Linked DNA regions of Drosophila melanogaster. The protein of the gene in region 3 interacts with the protein of the main gene of each other region in a pairwise test. Each region holds a gene or a part of one and is shown on either strand. Other genes may lie near its edges. The genes, in order: CG3598, CG17580, Tsp39D and CG15282.

Region 1 (8,083 bases), on a different chromosome or scaffold from region 3:
ATACGTAGTTTACACAAAATTAGTTGTGGCATTACAATTATTGCTAATTTAAAACTCTAAAAGTCGATAAAATCATATAAGTTTTGCTTAAAACAATGACAATTAAACACTCGAGTTTCTCTCGCCAGCACATTCGACTTTTGGTTAAGGTAAATAAAATATACACACAAATTATTTTCCAGCTTGAAGACCCCGGGCAACGTTTAACGAGTCAAGCGGAGCTGGAACCAACGATCCATACCAGATGGATGAGATGAGAAGCTGCCAACACATTTGGCTCGATTTTGGCCCCCAAGCCACAAGGCGGAAATTTGCATAATCATCCCGAAAAAAAAGAGCGGACACTATTAGGCCAACATGCGAGCACTTCAGCTGGCCAGTTGACAACATTATTCCAGCATTATTCAGGCAGGCGATCGTTAATTGTTTCCAACGACAATAGGCCGGGGTTAACGCTCAGGCAAGTGGCCAAAAAGCTGGCTAAAGAAGCTGGATGCTGCCAGGCAGAAAAGCCCGAAGAAAGATTCGTATTTTGGATTTGTATTCTTCAATTTAGGCGTGTGTGCAGATATTTGGTCATAAATTCCCCCCCGCCCCAGGCAAAGGTCAGCACCTGCCGAATCGGTTTTGGCCATATAATTAAAGCCTGAGAAGAGCCAAAGAACGGGCAATGAACTTTCAACTCAATTGGGCCCAGCCCATAATTCGGACTTAGGCCAATTTATTAGCCAGCTGCCGGAGTTGGACAAAAACTGAAAAACCAAAACTGGACAGCAGCTTTCTTTGTGCCGTTGCCTCGTTTGAATATGAATCTTTGAGGCCTGACCCCGTTGAACTTCTCCTGCGGCACATTCTTATGGAAATTAAGTTTGCGTTTCTTTTATTTTAGAAATTTTTCGCAGCAGTTTCCGCAGCCTGTTGCCAAGCGGATTTTACTGTGACTTCTTGAATGTCTTGAATAAAATAAGTTTGCATAAAATTGACCCAAGTGCTTGTGGATTTCATTTTTTTGGGGGGAGAAAATCGATTTCAAATTAGCGGATTTATGAAATATATTTAAGACCGTTTAGCGAATTTATATACAACATACATATATGCTAATTTTTGGATGACCCAATTTGGCCCAACAGTTAGTAAGAGTTAAAAATTGAAGACCACAAAAACAAAAATTAATTTATGCGTTCCCACAAACTTTGAAACCAATTTCCAGATCTAGATTAAAAAAAAAAAAACAGTTACTAAACTCTGTACTCTTCGAACTTGGAAAGTTAAAAGTCTTTTTTAGGCATTACAAAATGATCTAACATTTTGGAAATTATATTTCACTATGAATATTTATGAAATGAGATAATATCGGTATATATTAAAGGCACAGTTCCTAAATTGCTGGAGGGAATAAACTATTCTATTTTCTAAAAATACTTCTTTGATCTTTTTAAATTTTTGCCGATGAATTTCAACCTGTTGAAAATTAATAAAAAGCGAAATGAATAGAAATTTAAGAATATAGAATTGACTTTGGTAAATATATTCCAGTTTCCAGTGGGCAGCTATAAAAAATGGTTAAAGGACCGAGGCAAATATTGCATTTGAACACTCATATTATTATCCAAACTATTTGCAAATAATAATTAGTTTAAATTAGTCAGAATGGCCATGACTGCAATATCACTTTTATATCTAAAAGCTGTGAGGTAAAAAAAAAAAAACTCAAATCTGGAAATGAGTCAAGGGGAGAACGCAACCACTGCAAAATTGGTTTTCTATGAGTTCGCATGGCCACTTTTGGTAGCCGTTTTCGAGGTGAACCTCTACAGGATCATTCTGGAGCTTTTGGCCCACATCCTGCTGATCGTAATAACCGTGGTGATGGTCAAAAAGACCTCGGGTTTGGATGACCACAGCAGCGGCCAGCATGCCCTATACGCCATTTTGGGACTGTTTCTATGCGTGGGTGAATCTCTGTTGGTATGCCACTCCTGGTGGTTAGGAGACTTCATCTCCGAAAACCGGCTCAACCTTCTGCACATGGTATTGGGAATGGTGGGACTTTGGCTGGGACTGGTGGGGATATTCGCGAAGAGTATCTTCAAGAGCAAGATACATGAGCCGCACTTTAATTCCAAACATGGATTGTGTGGCCTTTTGGGATTCCTGCTTATCGCTGGGGCCGTGGCCAGTGGTTTCGCCCTGGTGTGCTTCACCCACCTGGCTCTGCACGTCATCCACCGATTGATGGGCTTGTGTGGCTTTGTGCTCCTCTCGTGCAGTCAGTGGTTCGCCCTCAATTTGGGATTCGCACGACGGGAGTGGAGTAGTTGGAAAATTAAAAGGCTCAGGATCTCCACGCTGGCCGCCACCATTTCAGTGGTTAGCTACGAGTTCCTCTGCCTCTGTAGAGACATTGTCCATTTGCTACCCAACAGCTGGTTCAAAGCCATCGGATTGAAAATTGATCACCTTCACAATTAAATTTTATGACCAAGCATTGTGAATAATTAAATTGAAGTGCTGAAGGCAATTGCAAAATGTTTATATTTTCTAAGCCCTACCATATAAAAAAGTAAATCACACAAAAATTACATTTATAGGAATTCTATTCAGCATGACAGCAAATATTTGGAAGATCAAGTGAAGTTTGTTAATCAATTTCGAAAGAAACATTAGCATACTTTCTGACTTTCAACTGAGAAATCCCTTGGAAAACAAAAACACTTTAATATCTATGCTTGCTATTTGGTCATATTGCAGTATGCCTAAGATTTTAAACAAGTTTCAACATTGTTTAATTAAGAAATAATAAATTCCGTGTCAAAAATTGTAGATTTATTGCACGACTAAAGAAAACAGTAAAATTACAGAGGGCTCGCATGTGAAATATTGGCCAACCTTCAGTCTTTCACCTGTACAATTGGCCATTTCCACGCATAAGAAGCCTCTTGGCTGGCATATTAATCACGGGACAAAGGCATAATTCCATCCCAACGTGGCTCGATCAATCAGCGATGCTGGAATACACATTTGCCCCCTATACCATACACCCCTTTCATCGATATTCACATTGGTCATTGGGTATATGACCGGTGGCCGGGGATGGGATACGACCACTTCGCATGCGTCGCTGACTCCGAGAGCAGGTCCATCATAGGTTCGGATCGGCCCTTGACTTCTCGGGTTTCTCGGTCTCTTGGGATGCCGAGATTTGTGCGTGTCTCTGATTGTTTTGTCATTAGCATGACCGCGGCGCTTTTTTTTTTTTTTGGGCCTTTGGTGTTTTTGGTGATCTTCGACTTTTTGATTCGGCGGCTGCTGATTTATTCAGCGCTCTTTCTTTTGTCCCACCGGCGGGTCACTGACATTCGTTTCTAATTCTATTTTTCACCATTTTCTACATTTCTTCCACAAAATTTCGCCACTTGAAATTATGCCGACATCGACCGCAATTATGACCAATGTTCTTGTGGCCTGAGTGGGCTCTCTCTTCTCGGTTTCTATGGGTTCTAGATTATGGATTCTGGATTTTTGGCCAGAACTTTTTCGCATAAAAACCTAATGCCGCCGCCACAGATCGTACAGTTCTGTTTGGGCCTTGCTTACAATTAGGATCCGGTCGGCAGTAAATCTTTAATTTCTGTGCACTTTACGTCGAGAAATCTTCAAAAAAAAAAAAAAAAAACAAGATGTCCAAGCTGGGTGCTATCTTGTTGGTGGGCTTGTGCCTGTTTGTGGCCGTGGCCTTGGCCGAGCCACGCCTTCAGCACGTTCAGGGGCGCAATCAGGTGCAGGGTCAAAGGGCGCAGCAGCATCCCTACCTCTTCCTGTCAATTCCCAAGGGTCGGGCCAACGCCGGCGCCGTCGTCCAGGGCTTCGAAATTGTCGAGGAGGAAGATGATGATCTACATGATGAGGACCAGCACGATGACGAGACGGAGGATGACGAGGAACTGGAGCATCAGCTGGGCCTGAACTTTGCCCGCAGCGGTCTGGCTTACAGGCAGAACCACGCTGATGACGAACAGGACGATGATCAGGATCAGGAGCAGGATCACGTTCAGGATGAGCTGCCCAAGAAGCAGATGATGGTTAACCGGGATCAGGCTGGTGCCATTATGGTGCCCGATGGCATTATCGAGATCGAGGGTCAGAGTGTTCTGGACGAGAAGACCGGCAAGGCGGCTCTCCTAGTGCCTCGTGCCGCCCTAGACGCCATTCCCGATGGCGCGGTGGTGGCTCTTATGGAGCGATCCGCCTCATCCGTTGATGAAATCGAGGAAGAGCGCGCCAACCGCGTGGTAGTTCGTCGCCGCAAGAACAACGGACGCAGGAACATTCGCCGCCGCGGCATCAACAACAACAATATCCGACGCCGCCGCCCCGCCCAAAGGCGTCGCCGAGTGGGTGGCAACCGCAGGCGCAATGTACGCGTCATTCGCCCCCAAGGCGGCAACCGTAGGCGTGGCAACCAGAGGCGCCGCGGACAGGTCGTATTCCAGGGTTGAGACACGAAACGAAGGTCGTCCTAGCCCCATTTCTATATAGTATTATAGTTAAGATCCCCTAACGATCAGGACAAGAAATTTGAGACACTTGATGACGATGCGACAAATAAAATGTGATATGAAAATTATAAATATTTTTTTTCGTATTTTTTATGGGTGGTGAAATTATGATGTGAAATTAACCAACATGCAAAGACTATGGTTTTGAATCATTAAGTTGAAACTTATTTTAAAGGTTTTGCCGTAAAACATCGTATACTACTTGTATAACTTTATTATTTATTTATCATATATGGTGTACCATTTCCTAGCAGTGTATAAGATACATAAGATTGCTTTGCCTCAAAATAGATCACTGCTTAGCTCCATTGATAGAAAAATTTGCATTTATCATGGAGTTTATTTGTATCATGGTTCAGCTTTATTCCAGTTTATCCTTTAACTTCGACACAACCTTAGTTATAAGTCACTTAATGCCCATAGGCTATCAAAAGTATGATATATGAATTAATAACTGCAAATTTTGTATGATAAAGGATCCGAAAATCAGATGGTACACACATATATACAAACAATGGTAGAGAAACTCATTTGAGAACATCTCTATAGAACTGTAAAAGTTTCGTAGTAAACTATTTTTGCTAATCGTTTGGCCAACAAAATAGGTACTACCGAAAAATAACCGTTTAGAGATAAAATTCATTTGATTGTCGTATATTGGAACCAAAGATACTTTTGGTCTTATCCAAATATATATATTAATCAAATGAAAGTTTTAAAAAGTCACGAAATAATTACACAATAACAGTATGTACAATACAAATGTTATATGGAAAATTAAAATATATATTTATTGAAATAATTTGATGTCGCATTCTGATTATATTTTGTCATTGTTTTTGGGAGAGCAAACATACAAAAATAGATAAGCACATATTTTGGAATCGTTGTCAAGAAAAGATTTGCCTCCGAACTATGCAATAAATCGCGAACCCTTTGTAAATTATAAATTTTGAGATTTCATTAAGTTTTGATTTTTTCGAAACGAATTTGGAGACTTCAGTTGAGTACTCCATTCTTTGGTGTGGAAATGCCGAGCACTGAGTGAGCTGAAGCAAGCAGAGAACTGACATCCCAGAACATCTGTGTAAGCCAGATTCCGTGGGTCAATCTCGGCTTGACGTCAATCAATCATCGGCTACTCGGCGATGGATAGAAGAATGGTTTTGGCAAAAGAGATGGGAAATTAGCATAAAATTCGTACGCCTCTGACCCGCGACCCGGTTCACTTTGACCCCGGGCGAACTTTTGCTAATAGAGCTGGCCAAGAAGTGGGAACTGAAAGGAAATGGGGATGCGGGGCGGATGATAGCCATCGATCAGCTGTATGAGCTCCAAGTGGGTATAAAATCCCGGGTCAGTCCATCAGTTGTCAGTCAGTTGTGAGTGAAAACTCAAAGACAACAAGTGAGTTAGGAACCCTCGATCCACAGTCAAGGAAGCCGATTATCCCGATAAGGAGAATCCATCTGCAGAATGCATTGCCTGCTTCAACTGAGTCTGGCTGTGGCCCTTTGCGCCCTCTTAGCCCCATCCACTACCTTGGGTGAGTCCTCAAATATTAACAGAAAGTCGTCAGTCAAGTCACAACTACTTTCTTTATATGTTCCTTAAATATTTCGTATAATTTTAAAATATTTTATCTCAGCCGAACGCCGCAATGTGTACCGCCTGGGTGGACGCGCCTCCGACGCTCAGATGGAGGCCCGCTTCACCTCGTCGATTGCCAACAAGCTGACATCTCTGAAGGGCACCACCACGACGACCACGGTTGCCCCCACTACCACCACCACGCCCACCTCCACTACGGAGACGACCACGCCGACTGCACCAACAACGTCCACTGGCACCTCGACGAGCACCACGACGCCCACAACCTCCGACACCACCACCGGTCGTGCCTTCCCCGCAATTCAAGACGATGTTGAGGAAGATGATGAGGAGATGCCCAGGGCGTTTGAAGATGAAGAAGACGAAGGTGATGACAGCCTGGAGGACGAAGATGATGACGACGATGAGGAGAGCTACTTTGTGGCCGCTCCTTCCGCCGGTGGCAATAGCAATGCCGTGCAGCAGTCCTCAGAGTCCGGCTCGTTGGTCCGCCCCTCGGAACTCCAGTGGCGCCAGTTCCAGCAGGAACAGCGCAACCGTCGCCGAATCCAGCGCCTCCAGCGTGAGCACAACCAGCGGATCAGGTCCCTGCTTCGCCGCCAGAGGGCCGCCGAGAAGCGAAGCCAGCAACGCTTGCGCCGCCAGCGCCAACAGAGCCGTAAGCGCGTCTCACAGCGCCAGCGCCGCAACAGGAACCGTTCCAAGGCCCAGCGCCAGCGCCAGAGGAGGAACAACATGAACCGTCGTCGCCGCCAGCAGCAGCAACGCCAGCGCAGACACCGCCAGCAGCAGCGCCGCCGGCTCGTGCGCCTCATGCGCCGTCGTCGTCGTGGCGGACGTCGCAACTAAGGAGTTGATCCCAGATCCCCAACCGATCCCAGAACCCCCGAAATAAACTGAACTTGTATGCAAAAAAAAAGCAAATTTTTTTTTTTCATTATTACGAAAACAAATAGCGAAGGGTAAACTACAATGTTAGATCATTGCAGCATTAAGATCTAAACCAGTAAGAAATGGAATTCTGTATGTAATCTATACCTATAGATCAGTCTTGATTTATGGAAAGACTTTATGACAAACAATTGGACAAAACAATGGATGAAACCATGGTCATCATATGAGATAACTAAGATTCTAAATATCCCCATGATTTTATACACCAACTTAGATTAGATGCAAGAAATTTGTATTGGGTCACATTGGTCTAAATGGACATTCTGTGCTATTGGAAAAACTGCAGCTTAGGATACCAAAGATGCTACATTTATCTAAGAACCAAGCCTTAGTCTCGTAAGATCTGCGACTCTGTCGTTGCCCAACGTGTGAATGTCTTTCTCCGCGGAATTCTCGGGGGGTCACTGCCTATGCGGTTCATTGACACCTCACCTCCACTTTCGCCCTTCGGTGGAAGAGAAGCTGTCCAAAGACAGAGTATCTAAAATCAGAAACGAATATGAATATGCAAATGGTGTCGATTCGCGAGCTATATGCAAATGATTAGCGGCGATCGATCGGATGGCTGAGGTTACGGGTCAGATCGCGATTATTTATGGCATTATGCAAAACGGTTACAACGCCAATAGGCTGGCTTTTTCTTTGCCCTTTCTTCGTAGGCCCAAAAACAAACTAGCTCTGTCTCCTTTGCTCGGCTTACACATCTCTTTTTTTTTTTTTTTTTTGATTTTTGCATATGTTCCTTCTCTTTAACAAGTCCATTTGTTGTAACCTCTAGGGAACTAGGGCTATGTAGGGGCCATGGTTACATATAAATATGCCGCGGATCGACCCAAGAAGTCAGTCACAGCAGCTCAGCCATCCAAGAGATACTCAGATTCCAGCCAAGCTAAAGGATAAATAACTCAAGATGCATTTGTTGAAGGGACTTTTGATCGTGGCGTGCCTGGCTGCCTTTG
Region 2 (8,189 bases), on a different chromosome or scaffold from region 3:
AAGAGAAACGTCGAACAGAAATCCCGAACAAACCGCAATGGCCGGCAGCAGACAATGCAAATTGTTTGAGTGCCGCCCTCCGAATGTGTAGCTGTATCTGTATCTGTATCTGCATCTGTAGCTGTAGCTGTATCTGTATCTCCGTATATGCATGTGGTCCGTATCTGTATCTGTAACTGCGGTTTCCGTTCTGGCTTTCTTTTTACGTTTTTATTGCATGTGAAGTATTTGAAGTATTTGCGAACTACGCTCGAGTGTATTCATTCCCCTTTAGTTGCAAAAAACGAGATGCGAGACTTTAATGTACTCGCAGTTCATTTTGTATTCATGCACTTTACAATTTCTTGTTTCCGATGCAGTCCAACAAATGCATGGCCTGGCCACAATGCTTTGGCCAGGGGACACAGCCTCGTTTGGAGCACAAGGAGCAAAAGGACTCGGGAAGACTCAGCAGGATGTGCCCCTTCGGTTTCGTTTGGGCAATGATCTGCTCCTGAGTGCTTGAGTGGTCTTTAAGTTATCTGCCGCCTGATGATGGATAGAAAATGGCTGCAGCTCCGCATCCTCTTCCAGCTGGGGGAATATGATTTATGCGAGCGCCCAGAAAACGCCGAAAGCACTTCGTTCAGTTAGGGAATTTGTTAACCTATGTAAATGCCAACAGATATATGCAGCTAAGTGAAATGCTACACCTTTACGGCTATTTTTAAAAATCTGCTTCATTAATCAACATATGTAGGCAACTCCTATAAAGCTGATATAACTTCATTTCATGACTGTATAAGTTATTAGATATATATAGAGATTGAGCGCAACGATTTTTTGTATTACAACATGGTTTGTATTACAACATTTATTTAAATCTATATAATAATGATATTTAATATTTAATATTTAATAATGATATATTCTGCCAATCTTACGAAATGGACAACCATTGACTTTTATTGTTACGAGACTACCAAATGCTGTGGCAATCTTTTATCTTTTATCCTACTTGATTGAACAATATAGCAATATGTATATATTTTTTAAGGCGTTTTAGTGAAAATTAAGCGCACTCCAATATCAGCTGCGTAATATGGATGTTGCAGTTTTACGATTCACTACAAGTACTTGATTTTAAATACACATTTCCGATACCTGCAATCACAGAGGTCTTTCATGGACTATTTGGCCGGGCTGTGACTTTAAGCACATTTCCATAGAACAACATGGTAACAATGCAGGACCAACGCAAATATCGAAAGGGAAACACGTGCAGGCGGCTCCCGAATGGCGACAATCATTACAAGGACGATGAGCATAAACAACACAGCAGCGGCATCCTGACAGACGGAAACGCAAACACACGACTCACACACTCGCACTCTCACTCACACTCACATGCATATTATTTACATGCCACAGCACGTGCGGCTGTATTGTATGGCACCATTTGTAAAGCAGATACATATACATATGTATATATGCGGCACAAAAAACTCCCACATTATGTCAAATGTTTTGTATGTCCTTTATGGAAGTGGATATGTCAGCGCCCGTGGATTTCGTCCTGGCAGCAGTACGTGCCTGTTGAATTGGCGCCCCAGCCCCGAATAACTCGGATTTCGTTCGCATTTTTACTGGCCAATCGAGCACAAATTAAACCCGGATCAGGAACCTGGCCAGAAGCACTCGAATCAGCAATCGCTGGCTAAGCACTCCGGCGACCGTTCTCAACCTGAAGTTTTGTCCAGCTTAACTTGCAGCCAAAGTTTTTCGTTTTCTGGTAAGAGAGAAGTAAGCACAATTGGGTCAATACACAGCCAAATCGCTTGTACTTGAGCCGGTGAGATTTGTTGGCAACAGAAAGGGGGAAATGGCTAACAGAAATAGCTGAGAGAAAAAACTAAGGAAACAGCAAGGATACATAGTGAAACAACAAGAGCGACACAAATAATTCCCAAGTCCCAAGTCCTTGACTTTTTCAAGTTCAATTTCGCTTGGGGGGCTGGCTGCAACATTGCGATAATTGATGTCTCGACATTGTTAATTATCTCCTCAAAGATGTTGGAACGTAAATAATCAGCTCATCAGCCGCTTGCTTTGTGAATTTTATAACATCACCTGTGACATCTGATTGCCTGACCGAGCCAACACCAAGATATGTTCAATTATACTAATGATATTATTTCGACATTACGCATACGCAGTGTGTGCGTCTAATGGGTGGAAGCTCGTAAAATACAGAGCAAGCATTAAGATATTATTTGTGGGCTAGGTCTATTCAGTCGATGTCGAGTGCAATTATTTGCAGAATATTTAGTTCAGGGCAGGGTGCTCTTCACATTCAAAATATTCAGTCAGCCAGCCAGTGCCTTCGGGATATATTGTGCTGTATAATTTATCTAAACAGCACATTCCCGTCCGAAAATTTAAAGCCACAAAGTGTCAGACTTGACTTGCTGCGGCTGCTGCTGGCAATAAATCTTAAAGTTCATTAAAAAGTTTATTTATATTTCACCTGCTGTGTGCGAACGAAAGAAGTCTGGCAAGTGTCAAAGAAATAAAAGCTCGAATTGCCGACAAATCTTTGTTAAGCTTGACCTTGACTGATGGCCCCTCTCATAAGAAGTCGTTTTAAGATAAACCCCCAACGCACCGAAATAAATAACTTTTGTCTCGTTTAGTAGAAGCAATCAACTTCCTAAGCTGGTAATTTAAATAAAATGTGTCGTCATAAGTGTGCAATTTTAGTTTATTTATTAAAATTAGAGTTTTAATTCAAATTGTTATTTTAATTACAGCAATAGCATAAATATGTGAAATAAAAATCGTTGTACACTTTTATCAATGAATGCCATTCTCCACTTCGTTAATTAACACCAAAATAAATAGGGCCAGTGAATAATCGTAGGATTTTTTATATGCAACCCAAAATATGTGCATTCACTAGCTTCATTCAACTAAAAAGTGTTTCGCCATTGAAGAGTCAACCAGAACGCCATCAAAAGGAAGCGCTCCAATAAGTTTGAATAGCATCACAAATACACACGTCTACATGCACAAATGTATCTGCATGTGTTGCTGGAGATTGCGCGGCTTCGGCCTTGCTTTTGTAATTGTTAACAATAAAGGAGGCGGTCTAGTGTGGGGTGGGTTGTTTCATCCGGCTTTAATTAAGATCCAGCTGCTAGAATTCATGTATGACAAGTATTGGACTGCACGTAAGTTGATAGTGATATAACCAAGCTTAGCATATCACAATTCAAACAGGAGAACAGACAAATGAATAACTTTACATATGAATCTGCGAAAAGATAAGCTGGTTTATACTGCAAGGCAAATGAAAAATAATATTACAAACCCAATATTAATTATCTTCACCAACTCTGTGGAGTATATATAAAACAAACAGGCAAATGTAGACTGCGATGATAAAAAGTAAAAAGATCAAACTGATGTTTCGACAAGAAAACATAACTGGTGTATAAGTTTTAATTAAATCTAATTTGGGAAATAATTTTAAATAGTTTTCTTTAATATCTGCTGGCATACTTACTCTCGCTAAATGTAGAACAATTGCTTTCGCAGGCCAAGCTGCTTCAAATTAGTTGAAGTTCAATGGGTAATGAATTCCGCCATTTCCGTGGAAGTTTCTATATCGCCAGGAGCACTCAATCGCAACGGACGTCGTAGGAGGAGCACTCACCGAAGTCCGACTTGAGGGTGAAGTACATGCCCACACCGATGCCGATGACCATGATGAGGACTCCCAGCCAGTAGACCAGGCGCCAGAAGGGCCATGACGATGGTGGCTTCTTCTGGGGTCGGTCGGATCTCACCTCCTCCTCGTCAACTTCAACTCTTTGTGGTTGGCGGCGCAGCTTGTTTCCCATTTCCCTGGGCCTTTAACTTTCTGTACGAATTTGCTTCCCTTGGGCGATAATTGATTGGATTTTCCCTGGCAACTCGACAGCAACCGAATGATAACATTTTATTGAAATTACTTGAGCATCTCGTAGGCTGAGATTCATCTCCGATGGCGAAAACTTCTGGCTAATTATTTAAGTTAATTGGCCTTTGTCCGCAAAAGGCCTGCCCAAGCCATGATGATGATGATGGGGTGGTTAGCATTGGCCTGAAATATTTGCTCGGAGGCCACAAAATGTCTCGCAAATTTGTTCAAATTACTTGGAACACAAAACAAGAGTCGTCCGCCACTCCTCGAGATCCTTGCAGGCCCAAGTCCGTGCATAAATTTCAGAACAGGAGGTCCTGGGTGGAATACAAAAGGACTTTGTTTGCGGTCGAGAGATGAAAAGTCATTTCTCTCCATTATTTGCCAACTAATTGGTTGGTAGGACTTGTGCATTTATGTTGCTCAAATGTTTGCCCAAAGAATTCTGGAATTTGGTGAGGTGTCAAGTGGGTCTACCATCACCCTGACCTTTTGCCGTATCAATTAAATGGCCAGCTGGTCAACTGGCCAAATTGAGCAAATGAAGGATGCAACTTAATAATGGCATTCTCGTATATGCGCATATGTATGTACATATAATGCCACTTAAGCATGCCGTAGATCTCATTCTTGCCATGATTTAAGTGCATTTCGATCGGCTTTTCCAGCTTTTCCCCGTGGCTGTATCCTTTGGAGTGCTGGCGATGCCATTACTGCTTCAATTTCAGTTTCTGTTTGATGTTAATGAAAGTTTCCGTCGTGCAAATAAAGCCAAAAGCATGGAAATCAGTAAAACAAATTGCAATCTGCTTTTTATCGCACGTCGCTGCATGACTGCTGGCAGCCGGCATTTTCCTTGCTCCGTCATCGATTGCCTGGCTTTCCCCTCGACTTTTCCCTTTGCTGCTGGCCCGCCCGGCTATTGACTTGCTCATTATGGCCCTGATGATGACTGCTCTCTTGCCACAGCTACCGTTCGTTCGTGTATAGTATCTGTGTGCTTTGGTTCCGTTTCGTTTCGTTTTCAATTTTACTGCAAAAAAGGCATAGATCTCCTCATTCCGCACCCGCATTGGGGGTCGGCAATCAGGGCGGCATAAATTGTTAATATATCTTAACGGATATTCAATTTCCGTCAACCAAGAAATGCATTAAATTGGTAACAAAGCTTAGCCGCTACAACCGAACGATGGCAAAATTGTTAAGCTCCAGCGGGGTATTATTAAAAATTCAAAGTCGTTAGAGAATGGCAAAACTTTGTGCAGTCCGGGCCAAGACATAATAATAATATAGAGCCGGAGTGGAAGGACTGAAAAATAAAGAATGGCCAGGACAATGGGGAGACAACAGGCAAACTATGAACTGGGAAACTGAAAAACTGTGAGAGTGGGAAACTGGGAAACTGCAAGACTGCGAAGCTGAGATGCCGAGAAGCTCAACTATGCCCAACTTGGCTGTCCGACTGTTTATTTTCACTAGACTTCCTCTTTCCCTGGGCTTCGGCCTTATTACGCTTGGCGGCCCATCATCTGCATGGCCTTGGGGTGGGCGGTGGTGGCGATAAGTGGGCGGTGCAGATGGCAGGACGAGCAGGCAAGTTGTCAACTAAGTTTGCAACAATAATCGCCAACTTCACAGGACCTCGAATGACAGAGCTGAGGCAGCAGCAGCAGCAGCTTTCAGATAAAAACCAGAAAACAATAAGACTTTAGGCCGACTTTTATTCAGTCTTGCAAAGTTCTCCACCTCTGGCACTGCAGCGTTTACCCTCGAAAAAGCAAAGGTCCTCAAAAGGAGCAAACAGCAGCAAATAGGCTGTGCTGGCAAGGATCTCTTCAGACTTTCGAGACGTGGCACAAAGGAAAGATTGCTTTTGCTTTTTGTTTGCTCTCCGACTGGAGATTAAGAAGGATTCAAAGGGTGTGAGAAAATGCGAGCAGGTTAGTGTGTGTGGCCTGTGGCATACATAGTTATTCTTTGAAACAAATTATACATTGCCATTTTTAATCTAATTTAAATGTCGCTTTTAATTGAGAAATCCTGTAAACGGCTCAATATAAGTTGTGTGGTGACACTTAATTTCAACTTTATGCAATTTTCACCTTTGGGCCAAAATCCGATTGACAATTATTGGCACTAAATAGTTGCATTTCAATTTGAAACACTGCCAATGACGTTTATACATATAACCATTTAAGAATTAAAAGCATATAACAATTACATATAAGAATTGAAGTGAAATTGCAGATGCTATAAAAAGTTTTCAAATTAAATAAATCAGTTGTTAGTTTTAAATTACCCAGAGCATAGGTTCGTTGTGGAGTCGCTTTCAAGCATAATCCCATTTAATTAAATAAATCTGTTAGCCAACTTTTTGCTCCACCGAACTATTGAATTAGTTTGAAAGCGTCTATCCAAATTCTGGCATTGTCGTGCTGGTGTCCTCAAAAAAGAGCAAACGCGCTGGCAGGATAGTGTGCGTGGCATATGTAAATTTCCAGCTAATTAAAATTAGCATATATTTCTCTCCGCATATAAGTATATGTACATATATGCGTATAAAAGGGGTCGGAGGGGCACATTATCTGGCTGTGCCGCAAGAAGACGCGGAAAACTACGCGCTCAGAGCTGATTAAAAGCGAAAGCTAACAAGCGTTTGCTCTTTGCCCCTTCGTGCGGCCCTGCAACATATGGGTCTTGCCCCCCCCAAAAAACTGCACCCACTTTGCCAGGGGCACCCTTATTTCTGTGTCATTTTGGCTCCGCATTAGGGTCGTAAAAATTTATTGTAACTTTTTTTCAGGGCGCCCATGTTGGAGGCAACGGGCTTAAGGCATTATGCCTTTTAATTAAACCGTTGAGATGTGTGTCAGCCATATAATAAAATGGAATGGAGTAAAATTTTGCATACATATGCCATACATATATGTAGATGTGTATAATCGTTTAAATTGTTGTTGTTCTCCCAGAGTTTTGAGCTGGCTTTGGTCGATTACTAGGCTTGGATATTAATTATGATAATAATGTGTAAGCGCTGGCTGGCATTTTAATTGCGCATACGCCATGTTGCACATTCCATAAAAAATGCATCCGAAAGGAAAACGAAAAGAGAGGAGTAGATCTGAAAAAAGAGCGCCATACAATTTCATAATAAAAATCTTATAAATTAAACAATTTAAAATTACAAAATGCACTAGAGCTGCTCGCATCAATTCGTAGCTGAGTTCACTTGGCTTATTTTTCGAGGATGCATTGTCCTCGCTTAAGTCCTTTGTTAATTGCCGGAAATGCAAATGGGTGGCAAGTTGAAAGAGAATGGAGCTCTGTCGACCATAAATGATTTCCATTTTAAATGCGTGCGAACCGCTGCTCCATTTTGCCATTTATTTACATTGGAGGTGAGCCAGCTTCCTTTTTTGGTTCCCCACTTTGCACGCAATTTTCATTTCTTTGGCCATCGTTTGTTCCTTTTTTTTCCTTTTCTCGGCTGGGACAACAATTCGCTTTGGCTTCACACCAAATTTGATTTCATTCGCAAGACGCTCTCAGGTTAAATGGTGCAGAAAGTCCTGTTGACTTCTCGACTGGCTGACCGACCCCCAAGTAGGATCTCGAAATGAATTTAAAAGCCACCTTTGTGCACGCTAAAAAAAGGCTGTTCTCCAAATTATGCACAGGTTATACAAATAGAGTGGTCTGTTGAGTAGTTTTGAAAGTATTAGCAACGTGGAACTTTTATTTATTCGCTTCTTCAAATCGAAATGAAAAATCAAATCAATCGGATTGTCGTATAAATTTCATCTTTTTTCTGTGTAAGCAATCGAATGGCCAAATCCCGTCCGTTGTATCTCAATAAATAAATGTCACGAATTCTACATTCCAATGCGAGCCATCCGAGCGCCCTCCATTCGCTGTCAATTTGTATGCTCTCTGGCGCATTTGCATAACAAAATTGCCATGCATTTCTCATTCCTTTCCGATTTTTTGCATTATTTCCTTCGTTTTTTTTTTTTTTTTTGTGAGAACCCGCACTTTGAACTTTTGAACGCAGACCAAGTAGCCGAAAGAGTAAGTTATCCATTTGCAGCTCAGCAAGTTTTGACTGCAGAATGTCAACAAAATAAATGCATAAATAAGGGGATCATCGTGTCAGTGGAGGGGGCGGCTGCCCCGACATGCCCCTCACCCCGCCCTCGAAGAGGTCTCAATATAACGAGATGATGAAAAATGTTTGAGTTTTGCATTA
Region 3 (9,338 bases):
TTGGGACTTCTATTATAATACTGTGTCTAACGCTGGTATTATGTAGTCTTTTACCAAATGAACTGAGAACTTTGAAGCATTGGACTTTATGTTCTTCAGTGAGTTTGCTTTTGTTTGTTACTATTAGGTTTTGTAATGTGTTGTATTGTGTTATCAATACCTTTATGTGAAAAATAAGCGTCTGAGTTTTGATCAGCGCGGTTTTATTAATACATTTATAGGATTTATCAAAAGCATCTCTAATATTGTTTATGGATATGGTTAAGTTTAGCCATTCCATGTATGTACCTTTTAGCGATGTAATCGCACTTGTACCTTTTTGGTGTAGTTTCTATTAGATTTTGTCTAAATCATTGGCTCGACTCATGTAAGTCTTTTCAACGATCTTTTGTGAAACTGATAAAGTTTTAAGGCCAGGTTAAAAGGCTGATAGGATAACTAAAATCAAAAATAGTAAGTACATTGAATTTAACTGTGGGGTTGTATCCACGACTTATGTCCCATTTTGATATGGGGAAAATTAGTCTTTATTTGTATATCAAAAGTACAAATAGAATTTTAACTTTGAGAATTGGTCAATTATTGTTATCTCGATCAGATATAAATATAGCTCGAAATTTTAATAGGTCTAAACTGTTGTTAAACATATTTTTACTTGATAGATGAATTCATTATACTCAGTTTACATCGGTTGCAATTTGCAATTTTACAATATTATTACTTATTTTAAGTTTAGGACTGAGTATAATGTGTTAGTTATGAAATGGGTCCCTGATAAGTTAGTAATTTTGTTGCAGCGGAAACCGCATCGACAACATTAATATAATATTTGGGCGGTTGAGGCTATGGCGTATAACGCAGCCCGCCGCTTTACTTCGCACCACGAAGTTGTTGATTGATGGCTGCAAGGCGCTCTTTGTAGCGCTGCCGGTCTTCCTCATTAGTTGCCGTCTTCAGTAGTTCGATGTTGAGCCTCCGGGCGCTGAGCAACTTAATCCGGCGGCCACCCCTCTTCTTTTTAGGTGGCTGCTCCCTCGCTGCAGTCCGTGCCTTGTACTCTTGTATGGTCAAGGGCTTTGGTCCCGCGGACGGATCTACCTCTATTACCTCTTTGATACTTGGCAGATCCCTTTGCTCGACAGGAGCAGGGTGTTCGAACGTCTGCTTGGTAGACATTCGCTGTTGTCATGTGCGGCGCGCCGGTGGAATCCTTTATCCTTTATCCTAATCCTACCCTCGCAGGATGCCGTGCTAATTGCTGTTGCGGCTTACAATGGTCGAGGGCAGTCGTTCATGCAGACGTCGGGTCTTTTCGGCTTGGGTGATGTTGAATTTTCAGTTATTTCTTCATTGATTATTTCTATTTTTGCTGAGTGAGTTGTGGTATTCGGCTTTCTTTGCTGGAGGTTTTCTTTCAGAAAGTCTAATTCGGCAGTTAATTTCTGTGCCGTTGCCCATGGGGGCGGTGTTTTATTTGTATATCATAGCCACTTAATATGTGCTATACCTTTATTTTTGATTTCCTGACATCCGCGTTTGCCCATTACCACACTCTACTCACTCAGTATTTTTGTTTCTTTTTTTTTTTCATCAGTGTCCCGTCTCTAGGTCTCCCGCACTGGTGTAAGGGGCGGCCTGCCTCTCACACCTGTTGTCGCTGTTTAGAATTCCCAAATCAAATCGGCAATATTAGCAGCATTTCCTCAGTAGTCCTCAGATCGCAGGCTCCTGCCTCACGGTCGCCATGTAATAAACCAATATATGCCACCAATTGAGAACACGTGTTTTCCTTGCAGTTGGGTGCAGCCGTCAGGCCACCTTTTTATTTCTTCTTATCTCTTCGAGTAGCAGAAACGGTTCTGCCCGCTTAACCTCTACAGAGTGTCTAATCTTACCTAAATACTGCGACTGCGCCGCCGTCGACAGCGGCAGAAGAGCAGCGTATATATATATGTATAAGAGAGAGAGAGAGAGAGCTTATGCGCATATATGGCCAGCGGCCAGCGTGGGGATGCTGACTTAGCTTAAAGCATAAATGGGTGATCTTATATCACGCTCACTTGAGACATTTATTTATGCAATGCAACTAAGTGTTGCTGTGTACTTATAGGTACAGTGTACCCTCGATATATGCACATACTACATGCTATAAGACGCGAAGAAAAATAAACCAACTGCCTAACGCTATTTAAGCTCGTATACGTTTAGTATTCATTTTTATCCGTACTCTGTTAAAGTGATAATCATAGAACAAGATTCAAACACACCGGTCTTTTCATTATTCCTGTATGTTATTCTGTATGTGTAAGCTATTCCCGGCTAACGATATGGATTTCCTGTATTGAAGAAGTTTTAAAAACTTTTTTCCGGAGTTATTTCAATGTACAACTTTACCGAACCTTTACAATGTCAACTATTACGAGTATATACAAAATACATTAATTTAAACAAATTTTGCATTAAAAAACTGTTAAATGAATTTAAAAAGCAAGAATGAACGAGTTCCTCGAATATCAGATACCCGTTACTCAGCTTAAGCATTTAACATCCTTGTTGGCATATCGATAGAATTTGGAAAGAAAAGACTATTAAAAATATGAAAAAAGATCGAAATATTTTCCAAAAGTGGGTTCGCGACAGGATTCGGCGGGTTTTGTGCGTTAGAGTGGGCATTGCAAAAAGTTTTTTATCAAATCGACAGAAATTTACAAAACTAACAAGAGAGAATGCGAGAATAGTCGAGTTCCCCGACTATCAGATACCCGTTACTCAGCTAGTGTGAATGAGAACGCGAAAGTATCATTTATTTTGGGATATCAAGAGATATTGGGAAATAAAATGAAAAAAAATTTAAAAATTGTTCAAAAGTGTGGGCGTGACCGGTTGTGCGGTTTGAGTGGGCGTGGCAAAAACGTTTTTGGCAAAATCGATAAAATTTACAAGACTAATACATATGTGAACAAATATCAACACATTTTTCAAAAGTGTAGGCGTGGCGTTAGAGTGAGTGTGGCAACATGGGTCAAACTTGCGCTCCGTCTATGTTTCTAGAATCTGTATGCCTTTTAGCTTTTATAGTTCCTGAGGTCTCGACTTTCATGTCCAGATTGACTCGGCTATGGATCCTGATCAAGGATATATATACTTGATTTGGTCGGAAACACTTTTCAACGAATCTAGTATCACCTTTTAATCTGAGTAACGGGTATAAAAATAGGAAAATATATCAAAACAAACAGTGGGCGTACCGGTTTTGGGTGATTTGAAATAAACTTGCACTGCGCCTATGTCTCTAGAATCTTTATGCTTAATCTCAACCTTCTAGCTTTTATAGTTTTTGAGATCTCGGCGTTCATATGGACGCATAGACATTCGAGCAGACAGACAGGGACATATAGACTCGGCTATTGATCCTGATCATAACCTTTGACTCTACGAGTAACGGATATATAAATATCAACACATTTTCCAATGGTGTGGGCGTGGCAGCTTTGGCAGGGTTTGTGGGCGTAGCAACATGAGTAAACAAACTATGCCTCTGAAATCTATATGCTTAATCTCAATATTGTAGGTTTTATAGTTCCTCAGATCTCCACCTTCATACGGACGGACATGGAGAACGAAAACTAGGAAGGACAGGAATACATATGTACATACATACATATGTATGTATATTGCGCTTGCTGTAATAGTTGTGTAGTTTGAATGAGTTTGAACTCTGCACTGAAATAGGTCGGTTTTTAAATTATTAGTGCCACCCCACCACCAGCAATAGGCCAAGTATCGGCATTCAAAGCAATGGGAAAGGAATAGAAGACAAAATCGATAGCTTAGAAATAGTGTCAGCTGCGTAAAAAGTGGCTACACCTGCCACACGGATGACAATGTAGGGTAAAATACACACGTCAGCCGTATATTTCTTAGTACTGCGTAATAAACCAGTTTGGATATACGTATGTGTTAAGTGTTAATACATACAGAAATACTTTATAAGGTGGAAAAAGCGTTCTTCTACCTGTAACATCCTTTTAAGTGAATTCTTACTCTACGATTACCGACCATTTCTAATACTTTTTAAATACTTTAGCTTGCAGAAGCAAGCATCCATGTTTATTATTATATTATTATATTTAATATTGCTACTACATTGTACAGTGTTTGGTAGTGTTCCCATTGCTGAGTTAATAGTTCCTTAATTGATTTGCGCCCAGGTACCAGACGACCGAATTTGGAGAGCAGTTTTACGGTCCTGTCAGACTTATTTATATTAAACCGTTTTTAGTTTAAGCAAAATATGAGTTTATGTTACCTTGAAATTAAACGATTAGTTTGATTAAACCTAACCATTTATCTCTAACAAAGTTAGCTATTTATTTGAGACGACAACCAAATCCTGACTCCTTGACGAATAGTGCGCTAGTGCGATCTGGCCACTGTGCGTAACTGGTGGTTCCCGCTCTCACCAATTGTCATATTCATACACGTGTATTAACATATGAATCAATGTCCGCCTAGCGGCTTTATTGAGAGGATTTCCCCATGTCCAGCTGCATGTGTGCATAATGATGCTTCTGGTTGATGGTTGCGTGCCGTCGCCTACTTCCGGAACCCGCTTGTAGGCGGGTGGCGGATATATATAGGCATTACCCACACTTCACGAGCTTTTGACTGACCGTTTGTGTATCTCCAATTAGGCGCATCCCAGCACCTGGAGCACCATCCACTACGACTTGGAGCAACTTCGCGAGGCATGTATCACACCGGACCGCAGCTCCTGCTTGCCGCAAGCACGCAAACTAGTCAACAGAATCACTCTCCACACTCTAGATCTCAGGTAGCACAGGGAGAAGTGCATATTGTTCGGTCGCATCCCTCACTTAAACCACTTTCCACTCTCCCACCAACATACATACACACAATTACTCCTCTAGGGCAATACTAATACCAATTTGTATGGCGCAAGGGACCGCATCATCTATTGCAGCTGATTGGTTTCACCCAAATATTTATACCTTTCAAATTTAGGACCAGGACGCAACGGTTCGCTTGATTAACTCGCACCCGCGCTCTAATCAGAACAACAGCACTTTCGATGGATGTTTTCAAGTGAGACTTGACAAACAGTAGAGCTACGATGTGATAATTCCAACGGAGGTATCGATAGCGCATGGTCATCGATACCTCACGCCAATCAACGATTGCTGAATGACTCCACTATTTGTTATCTTATCCCGGTGCTGGAAACATTATTTCAAGAAAATCAATTTTGGTTAATTTTCTTTTTATTACGTGTTGATGCTAGAACCGCTTTTTCCCCTCTCAGCAATAAATCTTGTATTGCCGAATACAAACGCTATTTTAATGTTGGTCTTTTCGTAATTATGTTTAATATGAATGTTCAGTAGCAATTGCAGGTGATTTTGAGTTGCCATACCAACATCTACACAGTTCGGGAGCTGCCATACTGCAGTATACAGAAGTCGGGAGTTGCCATAATTTTTTACTAAAGTAGACTGGATTCGAATCGTAGATAAAAATTGTATAACCCAGATTGATTATAAAAGAAGCAATGTTAAGTTTAGCTAAAAGGAGATTCGATTACTGTCATAAAACTATGTTTGTAGTGAAAATTAAAACAGGATTGTATTCAATTTTTGCATATACATAAGTCCCTGATGACATCAAATGAAATGCCAAGAAAACGAATGCAGTCGGACATAGGCATATAGAGTCGTCTGGAGATTCCGATCAAGAAAAGAGAATCAGGAACATTTACATGATATATATACCTTCCTCCCATTAGATAAATCCTCTTCGCTTTCGCGGTGGTTTATGAAATATATATAACTTAGCACGTTCTCTACTCAACAACGCTTTAAAAAATTTCCACCGTGTTTTAGCTCTCCTTTTGCTTTTGATTTAGCCCTTAAACCAACCTTCTTGGCAAGAATAAGGTGGAATCGGTTTATGTTATATTACACGTTACACGTTACACGTGGGCTTGGAAATTTTGTGATTCTTGTGGGCGTGGCAACACGGACATGGCTAGATCAACTCGGCTTTTGATCTTGATCAAGAATATATATAAATTATATAGTCGGAAACGCTTCCTTCTGCCTGTTACATACTTTTCAACCAATATTGTATACCCATTTACTCTACGAGTAATGGGTAAAATAGAAGTGAACCATTGTTGAATGGTTTTAAATTAAAAACCTAATGATATTATAAATACATTTTGCCCATTAAAAGAGTATATCATAGGATTTTTTCTGTATTCATACCAGGACTTTGAAAAATTTGATGCTTGGGGATGAAAAGTGGTAAAAGTGTAAAAGGATATATGTAAACAAGAGAAAATGTTATACTCGATTTCCCGCTCATCAGATACCCTTTACTCGGCTAGTGGAAATTCGATCGCCAAATTTTATAATTTTTCCAGGATATCGATTGATTTTGGTGAATAAAATGAGAAAAAATTTAAAAATTATTGGCGTGACAGTTTTGTTCGTTTTGTAGGTGAAAGAAGGGTCGTGGCCACATTGTTTTGTATACCGATAAAACTTGGCAAGACAAATAATAAAACGGAAAATTCTAAAAATATTTTAAAAGTGTAGGTGTGGCAGTTTTGGGCGGTCTTTGGACGTTGAAGTAGGCGAGGCAAAAAGTTTTTTGGCAAATCCATAGTAATTTACAAGACTAATAAAAATATGAAGAATTATCACAGAATTTTTCAAAAGTGTTGGAGTTCCGGTTTATTCTTTACTTTATTAAATAATCTTTGCTTTAAACGTGAGAATGTATACATATTATATTATTATATTATGTATACATATTACAGATTCCATATAATTATGAATTTGTTATTTTTATCATTACTTATTTAAATATTCATATACTTTTCTTCACTTGTACTAAGCAAATGCTCTTCAAAATAGGCTTCTCATATAATTTACAGCACTGGGAAAACGTTTCTAATTTTTGAATTAATATTTGATCCTTTGGGGTATTTCTATATAACATTAAATATATTATATGAGTCTCTTCCTGTTCATTTACATTGCACACCTATGGAGCTACACATCTATATTGCGAGTTTTATTTACGAATATATTTCGTCCTACTTTGCGTATATTTAGCACAATCGTAACAGAATTTTTAATGTTCTCCAATCTGTACGATTAAAAAGCACTTCGCTTAAGAATATTGCTATATAGACCCCGCTCAGAATTAATTTCGATATCTTCGCTTAATTGCAGATTTTCAGCTATTCCTTCTAGGCTTTTCACTTAAGTATAAAACATATCTGTATGTATATACATAAATGTATTTATATGCGAAATTCACCAAAAATAAACTTGTTTTTTCTTGGTAACAGTACTCTACTGTCTCAATTATCTACCGGTAACATTTAACCACTTCAGTTAAACACAGGTACATCGATTGCAAATTGAATAAAAAATAAAAAAGAATAATTGTACAATAGAAAGGATTCCCGAGGAAGTGAAAAGTTTTATTAGAACTTGCATTAGAACTTTTTCCGAAATGTTGTGTTTAAACAAACACACTGACACGCGGGCTTGATTGACAGAGAAGGTTTTGAAACTCAGTTCAGAATCTTGCACTGCTTCGAACAAATCGATGTTTTGGAGTTTGTGGAAGAGCTTAACATCCTGCGACCTACCCAAAATACGAAATCCTGACTAATCAAACATAATAAACAAGCTTAACTCGACACCGAAGAGGAGAGAGTTCCCCCAACTACAATTTTTTACTTAATTATTGCTAAGACCCCAGCCACCCTCACTCACTCACACTTACAAGCCCCCTCTCGTCGCATCAGCCGACTTCACCACCCACTGAGCACCGTTATTTTATTACTGTTTACCGTCCGAGCGTTACTATCGACGTCCCTTTCCCGCGTACAGAGTCTTAAGTCTGGCGACCCATAACGGAAATGTGCCAATTTTAGTTTCGGTACGTTAATTGTTTTCCTGTCCGCCCACACACCCCTCTTACCACGTTTTCTACTCTTGCATCCAATGGAAGGTTTCAAGTGCATTAAAAAGATCATGGGTGGTAAATTAACTTATTGGGGCGTCACTTTGTAGACCGTCGTTCCTCAGACGGCAGGACCGCTAGTTAACGGTAATTGATTCAATGTTTTTGCTGCTATTACAAACAATTATATGTATTTATGCACACTATATACAGTAAGTCCTATGATATACATACATACAGAATGTCATATCGTTTCAAAATTAGGGTTGTAAATTAAAAAAGACTTTAACAAAAGAACTAAGGTGATAAAGCGCTCTTAGCTTTAGTATTTTGCATGAATGTATAAATTGCGATATACATACATACAAAGATACATTGATATATAGGCGCATAGCTAATTATCTAAGATCGATCTGGATATAAGTTTATACATACATATATACAAAACTTGAACCATAACTTTAAGTACAATCGAATGTTAGCCTTCTTCATGGTTCTCTTTCGGAAAAAAGTGCACGTGAAATTAAGCTTACGACTAAGTTTCGCTAATTATAGGCTTCCGTAACTTATAAATAGTTGTAGGTCTTATCTAAAGTATACGTATTTCTTGATATTTAACAGATATATTTTTAGTAGCCGGTTTTTTTCATTTTAATTATCAAAAATGTGCCTAAACTTTCAGAAGATCATTAAAACATATACTAAGCTCATCAAAATATTTGTAATCCACTTCGTTAATCTATCTGTTTATGTTTTAAAGTATTTTATTTAGCTTGCTAATACCAATTTGTATAATTAGACCAATAAGTTATTCATATTTCATGGCATGTAATGAACAAGAAAAGGACCCACGTGTGCAATCTAAGGCAGTCCTGCTTGCTAAAGCAGTCGATTTCCTTGGTGCTTCCTACATCAGTCAATTTACTGCTTGCAAATGTCCTTTTCTCTAGAACTACGTTTATTTATGTCGCGGCACTCAAGTATGGCGTACTTGCAACAAATTTAGAAGAATCATTTTGAAAAGTGAAGCTCATTCTTTACTTCTGTCATGTTTTGAGTTTCTCCCGAAACCAAAGTCATGTGTTCTTCCTATATTCGCCCAGTAAATCTATATCAATATAGATTTCATAGGATCGAACATGCTCTTTTACAAGTTTACAATTATATGACCAAAATTATAAAACTAATTAAATTAAATATTTTCTGGTTAAGTTTATTGCAGAAATCTTCCATAAATGACCATTTTATGAAAGCATAATAACTAACAAGGTTTCGAACACTCAAGCCGGTGAATCGACCGCACTGGGGTTCATAAATATCGTTTTTGAGCGCTATAC
Region 4 (7,563 bases), 6.6 Mb from region 3:
GCTGGCTGTCTAACTGTCAGTTCAGTTAGCTTTTGTTGGTAATTATTCAGATTTTGTTTGCATTTCATGCATAAATAAATCACTGAAAATTGCGGCTCAAAACTATAAATGCCAAGTCATACATCTGTCACTGTTTGGAGAGTAGAGATGGCGTTGGAGTCCTGGGAAGTTGGATAATATTCTCGGACGGGCACTAAACTGCAGCTGCCTCTCATTAGTACACAGTCGCTATGCCTTGCTCCCTTTACTCTAATTTAATCAAGTTGAATGGCAAAAGAAATTACGCTTTCTTTTTCGGCGGGTGCTTCAAAAAATACACAACAAAATAACGACGAAGAAACGGAATATTACCATGGCTAACAACATTTGGGGCCGCGCGTCCTTTATGTAAATTGCGGCCAAATTAGTGAGTCAAGGAATACCGAATCCCGGTACAGGTGAAGAAAAACAGACACTTAGAGGTTACTGGCACAGCTTTGGCCTCACAAAATGACTCCGGGCGAATTACTTAACCGCTGCCCAAGTGGGTGCACATAAAGATCCATTAGATGCAAAAGGTAAGTGGGTAAGCGACAACATCAGTGGCCCCATCAAATTTTAATTTGCATTCAAATTAAATGGCATATCAAATATTAACAATGTATGGAAAATGCTAATGTCCAATATACTTCACTTTCCACGGACATAATACGATTACCGATTGCATCTAAAGAGAATCAAATAAATCTTTACGAACATATAAAAAAATTACAATATTGCGTCTATCAGAGTGCAATGCTTTAGCTAAACTATTTTCAAATCGGACTTTCCCAGTAATTTATTAAGCAAATTTACCAGCAGTTTTCAACCTTTTCTTCTTAATTGTTCAGTCATAAAGCCGTTCGGGTAATGATTGCATGCGTATGCCTCGATGAACTTGATGATTTGATTAAAAGTTCCCGCAAAATGTGTGTTTCCCCGCATAACCCGAAAATCATTAGGGGTTTCAATTTAATTCCCTAATCCGCAACATCCTTTTCTTCCGCCTCCTCGCAGAGGATTGGGCCCAGAATCTTTTATCTTTCTCCACTTTCCTCTTCCCACTTTCCACTCTCCACCGACTTCAATATAATCCCCAAAGTGCGATTTTCTTACGACCCAATCCACATCGTTCTGGCCCCACAGTCGACTGTCATCAACGACGTCAAAAGCGCTGCCCGCTGAGCCAACAATTAACAATTAAAACCCCAAAGCGCACAACTCAATTTTGCAATACACACAGAGTGCGAGTGAGGCAAACACTGCAATGGCAATCTCATAGATACGTATATAGTATATATATCTATATATATATATATCTTTGTATATATATTCAGCAGATAGCAAAGGATAGATAAGGGTAACCCACAACAACAATATTCCGGCACCAATGGGCACTATTGCCACGGCTAAGTTCCCTGTGTGCTCCGTAGTCGCACTTACAACTAAAAACTTGTTACGTATTTAATTGCAATTAAAAAGTTGTTTTGTAGTTACGAGTGTTGGTGCTCTTGGCTTTCTTGGTGGATGGCGCTGGCTGTATAGCTGACTGGCGTTGTTTTGTCAGACAGGCAACTACAGGATGGCTTCGAAATTGTCTCCAATAACAAAACCAGAACCAAAACCCCAAAGACTCTGAAGCCGGGATGAAGTCATTACAAGGCGAAATGAAAATGCGTGGAAAAGAAGCCAAAAGGGTTTTCCGCTTAATGACTTTGATGGTGTTTCGGTGCTTTCGGATAAAGGAACCAAAAATGCCACCGACCCTTCCACACCCACTTGCTCTCCTCTGATTTCAACGATAGCACTCATTAGAGTTTTGCGATTTTTGGCTTAAAACTTTGGCCATAACAATTGGCCATGGCCATCATCGCGATTTTGACACAAAACACGAAGTCATTGCTGAATTCACATCCAAATAGCAGGCAAATTGTCTGCTCCTTGGCCTCGTAAACAAATTGTTTGTATTTGATTTCGTGTAATTTTATATGACAAAGCGTTATTGCTTTATTAAACTAAAATTAGCTTGGTTTTGCATGAACTAGTATTAAATATTTAAACTAGGATTATAGAAAAGCATTATTATGTCTTGGTTTATAATTGTGTGTTTTTAAAAATATTTATTTATCGTGTGTTTATCTCTACGATCATGGCTTTAGTTAATGGCTTGCTTTTGAGTTCTATAGATAGTGGTCAGTCTATGTCTAGTTTCCCTCACTAAGGAGCTTTAGCCGAAGAAGTTAAATAGGTTCTCCTGCTGCTGTTGCTGCTGACCTCCACCGCCTTGCTGCTGCTGCTGTTGCTCCTGGAAGAACTCCACTCCGCCGCCGAAAGGACCTCTGAAGATGACACCCTCCTCCTGCTGTTGCTGCTGCTGACCACCGCCAAAGCCGCTTTGCTGCTGCTGCTGTTGTTGTTGCAGACCACCTTCAAATCGTTCAATACCCCTAATAATTTGACCAAACGGACCGAACTGGGCCGATGCAAAGGCGAGGAGCGCAACAAAAACGATTATCTAAAAAAATAATACATACAGTACAATACATTTAGTTTCAACTAAAAAATAACGTAGATGTCTATATTAGCCAATTTTTAGCGAAAAATACCGTGAATTTCATGTTGAATATTGAAAATATTCCTCAAGCGAACAATCTTATTTCACCGGAATGCTAAAATCAACTGTTTGAGTTTCGGCTGCTGGCTATGAGTATTTATCTGAATTTTTGTTAGGCTTTATGCCCATTCAAAACTGGTTGAGCACGGTGCGATCGCCGCTCGGACTTCCCTGTTCAAATCATTGTGAACGTTTGTGTTTATAGGGGATTTTTTCTGTTGTTGAAAACGTTCAAGTATCTGGGGTTGACGGGCCCACTAAAAATACAGGTTTGCAATCAGCTCTTCTTGGCGTATGCTCTTCGCTAATCAAATTAGGTTTTTTGTTAAATTATTGCTGTCAGAACATTTGGTTATTTCACAATTTTGCATGAGTCAGTATCTGCCTTTGGTTTTTATGCCAACATCATTTGCGAATTATTCAAGTGTTTGCAATTAATGTTGTTATAGCACAAAAATGTCATTAACCCATTAAGTGATTTTCGATTAGCTAAATAAAAACAATTTTTTATGTTGAAACACAAATTTTTAATTTAATTTAATAATTCATTTTTCTTGATGTTGCTTATGTCCAAAAAAATAAACCCAAACGTATTTATAAGCAAGCGAAATAAATGAAGGTTACTCATTAATAAAATCTCTGTCGATCTAAAGGCCTACAATAAGCCATTGTCAAAACATGTAAATGAGTATTTAAAAACAAAAACTGTTTTGTGTTTGTTATACTAATACGTTCAAATAATTTATTTTAATTTTTAGTCGAGGAACTAAAGTAACAGCCTTAGAAGAAGCCTCCTTGTTGCTGCTGCTGCTGCTGCTCGATTCCTCCAAATCCGCCGAATCCACCGAAGCTTTCCTGCTGCTGTTGCTGTTCTCCGAAGCCTCCGAAACCGCCGAATCCTTCTTGCTGCTGCTGTTGGCCACCGAATCCTCCGAATCCACCGAATCCTCCATATCCGAATTGAGGAAGCGCGGAAGCAACGGCGATAAGGGCCACAAAAACGATCACCTGAATGGCCGTTTATTATTTTTATAAAGTCCTTAATCCCTGCGAGGTGTAGCTCTGGTGGCCAAACTTACCAAGAATTTCATATTGAATTTGAAAATGAATTCAATTTGTACTAATATCCCAGAAGATGAGGATGCTTCGATGTTGCACTCGATACTGTGCCCTTTCTGTCACGTCTTTCTCTATTTATACGATTTTTTTGAATTCATATAATGTTTGAATTTCGGAGGTTCTTTACCCGCACTGAAATAAAAACTTGTCCCAGACACTGGACCAGACGTGGGGGCTTTCCTCACAGGTGACCAGCGTTTCTCTTCCAATCCGGTTTTGAATTTGTTGTGGTTATTGACCGGTTTCCATTTTTTTTTAGGGGAACAGGCGCCAGGTGCGTGGCTTTTGATATGAATTTTAATAGTTTGCCAATTTATATTTAAATAGTATTTTTACTGAATTTATGACTAAGCTATTCAGTTTCTAGAGGCACGTTTCCAAGAATCAATATATTGAACCCAAACTAGACGTTGTTGATGCTACTTGACGTTGTTGATGATGCCTTTGTTTCTGGGGTTCTCAAAACAAATTTGCTTCCTTACTCTAATGTTTACCATAGAATCACATTAATGTGTTACGTGTATATATAATTATTGAATCTTACTGAGCTGGACATTTGAACAAATCACCCCTTCCAATTGCCACATTTATATCCGGGCAAAAGTAAATGCAAATGAGCGTAAAAAAAACATATTTTTTTCAATTCGGTTACATTTCGTTGAGATAAACAAATTCCATTGACATAATCAAAAGAAACTTTGTTGTTTTCTTATTTCGTTGGCGTTCACTTCAAGAGCGGTCCAAACGAAGCGAACCAAGCTCACTCAATAGATAAGTGTCTCGATGGGGAATCACCTGCAGCGAATGGGGAATACTGGCGACCGGAGACCGGAGACCCTGGAAATTTTACCGTACCTCGACGAGGGTGAAGTGAAATTGCATTTGGTGTGCGGCGCCAGCGGCAATCGAGTTTGGCAATACGTGTTGCCTTTAACTTGGCTCTTAACCCTGCCATCCGAAAAGAGGGTGATGCGAAAGACTGCGACGACGAAGACGGTGCCTTTTGGCATACTTCAGTGGAGCGCATAAAACCCTAAATGAATTTATTTGGCTCATTTAAAGCAGCTAATTTATTTTTATTTCATCGAATTTGTGTTTAGTCGGGCACCACAAGTCCCTCTTCCCGGTTGGCAAGTAAGCTGTTTAGTGTGGGTACTAGTGACTTTATCCGTTTAATGTTCAAGTAACTTACAACGCAAACTCGCTCAACTTAACTTAAATCAAAGTAAACCCTCTACTTCAAATAAACCACCGCTTCAAAACTAATCATATAGCCGTTGCTTTTTGGAAATGTGCAGTAATTTTGGTAAAATGTCTAATGAACCCTTTTCGGGAGGCCTAGGCCCTTAAAATTGCAGAGCTCCGGGGAAAACACTCTGGGCCAACGTCTGCGTCGCGTGTCAAAGTTGCAACATTCAACATTCAACGCTCTTTGACTCCTTTGATGGTGGCCCAACACGACACCCAAAGCCGTGCACTGAAATTTGTTCAAATTCATTTCAATTACCGTCAATTTTCAATAATTTTGTTCAAATTATATTCCATTAGGTTCCATAAGTTCAAAAAAAAAACACTTTGCATAAACATAATTAGCCTTTTGCTTACAACGCAACATTTTTGGGACATTCTTTGCTCTTTTAAACTTTAATCGAGCTGAATTTATAATTAAATATTTGCGTCACCGATAGGTAAACAACAAACTGTTGACTACGTTAGTTTCTTGATTTACGTTAAGTTGGTATTGGCGAATGAAAGAAAGGTTAAATAAAATAGTAAAAAAAAAACATTTAAACTATTTAAGATACACATTCTTCGTTATATATAGTTCAGTAGTACCCTACGTTTCCAACCAAGCTGTTTTTTTTTTGATATAACTACGTTTAATTTTAAACTTTTGGCACTAGTAACTTGGCTTGACTTCTTTGGCACCCCCGTGCGACGCAATGTCTTAGGTTATTTGGGTGGCTAGCAATGCATTAGCCCAGTCAGAATGTTATGCCCCACCTGCAGGTGGGTGCAAATTCCTGGAGCTGAATATGTGGGGTGGCGTGTGGGTGGTTCCATTTCCATCCATATGAATTTCACATGCTTAAGCCGCAAACTTATGTGCGCGCACAGCTTGAAATCCAAGCTCACGTAAACTCAACTGGAAACTAAGCCCGAAAGAAATGGTATTCCGAAGAGGAAGATGTCGGCTCTTCCGTATCTGGTGCCGGGAACTTTCGCCAACATGTTAGCAGGGGCTTAGGACTTAGAACTCGACACTCAACAATTTTTGAGCCAAGTCAATGAGCAATTGACTGCCAACGCACCGCCGCCACCTGTCCATATATAGATATGGCAGGAACCTGCATATATTCGTGAAAACTTCCTTGCACTCTGCGGGCATCTGCATATTTTTGCGCAAATATGTTTTAATATGGGTTAGAAAAGTTTCCCACTGCACTCGCATCGCTTCGAAGGGCGGCGAAGTTTTCTTTATTGCCTTTTGGCCCGCTTTTTGCCCTCACCGCGTTTTTTTTTTTATACTAAGTGCACTTCCGGCTGGAACGCGAAGAAAACTGAATTTTACTTACAAAACCAAACTTGGAAGAGATTTTTGTAGGCTTTGACTTCATATTCATAATCCCAATCAGGAGTGGCATTCCCTGACCCCAGCTAATTTTAGGCACATTAAAACCAAAAGAGCCCCAAAAAAAGGGCATTAAATCCGTAAATGAACCAGTTAATAATACTAATAATTATGCCTTGTAAAACTTTTTATTTATCTATGCAGTTCATTACAGTCGTGCAATAACCTTGCTTAATCCTTGGTAAGAATTGATTAAAAACTTAGCAACTTAATTATTTTGCAGCTAATTTGTGACTTAAACAGTAATTTCGAATAATTAGTAATGCCGTGCAATTTAAATTGGGAAAAATAGCATGTAAGTTTCATTGTAATATAAGGACAAGACATTTTAAAATGAATTTCGGTACTTCATTTGTGCCACAGTGTCCTCGTCCTACTCGCTAATTGTATTTCTTCACCTGAGCAAACTTTGGCCTTTAATCCCTTCGCCCTGCGACCAACAAAAGCGGCCCGCACTTTGGGCCTCACTCGAAGATTATGTCGCCTTGGATTCGCTTAAGTTGATCCCGAGTAGTTTGCAGTTGGGTAACCAAGTGAAGATGCATCTGCGGCCGAGGAACGTGAAGAAGATGCAGACGAGGGGCTCTTAAAAGTTTGGTTTTAATTAAAGGAAATTTGCGTGCGTGGCACTTGATTTGTAGTTTTCCAGCACTTCCGTGTGTGCGGGCATTTTCCACCTAGGCACCACCCTAAAACCCCATAAAAAATATAAATATAATTGAAATTCTAAATTGCAATTGCCGCAAGTGCTCCTCCATTTGCAGATGCCAAGTTTCCGAGTTGCCAAGATGCTCCGATGCTGCAAATGCTGCAAATGCGGGCCTTCTCCGGCCTCAGTTCTGGGCAATTTCTTGTACCCGCTCGTAATTAGAAGCAAATGCAAATTTACACTTTGAGTGTGTCGGTGATGACGGAAGTCATTGGTAAAACCTGAAGCTGTGGGCGGGCAGAAAGTTGGCTCTGCCGTTGGAGTACTTCGGTTTCCACTGTTCGTTGCTGTGCCGGTGCAGATATAATGAGAAAAGTTTCAGGTAATGCAAGGACTCTGCCAAGGATGAAGGACTATTGGTTAAATCTATTCCAGTACAAACATCCTTATCATAAGCTTGTTTTAAATAACTGATTTGCGAAAGGTAGCTTCGAATAATTCATTACTCCACCTCACTAGTGTATTTATATC

The links.
Region 1: the proteins of Tsp39D (region 3) and CG3598 interact in a two-hybrid assay, tested with the Drosophila melanogaster proteins (one large-scale study listed by BioGRID).
Region 2: the proteins of Tsp39D (region 3) and CG17580 interact in a two-hybrid assay, tested with the Drosophila melanogaster proteins (one large-scale study listed by BioGRID).
Region 4: the proteins of Tsp39D (region 3) and CG15282 interact in a two-hybrid assay, tested with the Drosophila melanogaster proteins (one large-scale study listed by BioGRID).

Annotation. Positions count from the first base shown.
Region 1 is NC_004354.4:2,933,448-2,941,530, forward strand, and holds CG3598 (uncharacterized protein), read left to right. Parts: upstream 1-3,579; 5' UTR 3,580-3,680; coding exon 3,681-4,499; 3' UTR 4,500-4,626; downstream 4,627-8,083. Other genes in the region: CG3592 (uncharacterized protein), read left to right, coding at 1,723-2,472; CG14420 (uncharacterized protein), read left to right, coding at 6,036-6,105, 6,208-7,019; CG14421 (uncharacterized protein), read left to right, coding at 8,035-8,083.
Region 2 is NT_033778.4:12,802,390-12,810,578, reverse strand, and holds CG17580 (uncharacterized protein), read right to left. Parts: upstream 3,966-8,189; 5' UTR 3,882-3,965; coding exon 3,660-3,881; 3' UTR 3,545-3,659; intron 3,490-3,544; 3' UTR 3,350-3,489; intron 3,293-3,349; 3' UTR 2,768-3,292; downstream 1-2,767.
Region 3 is NT_033779.5:21,340,411-21,349,748, reverse strand, and holds the start of Tsp39D (tetraspanin 39D), read right to left. Parts: upstream 5,143-9,338; 5' UTR 5,013-5,142; intron 1-5,012.
Region 4 is NT_033779.5:14,708,902-14,716,464, reverse strand, and holds CG15282 (uncharacterized protein), read right to left. Parts: upstream 3,995-7,563; 5' UTR 3,879-3,994; intron 3,823-3,878; 5' UTR 3,724-3,822; coding exon 3,712-3,723; intron 3,641-3,711; coding exon 3,413-3,640; 3' UTR 3,347-3,412; downstream 1-3,346. Other genes in the region: CG34165 (uncharacterized protein), read right to left, coding at 2,246-2,533, 2,625-2,636.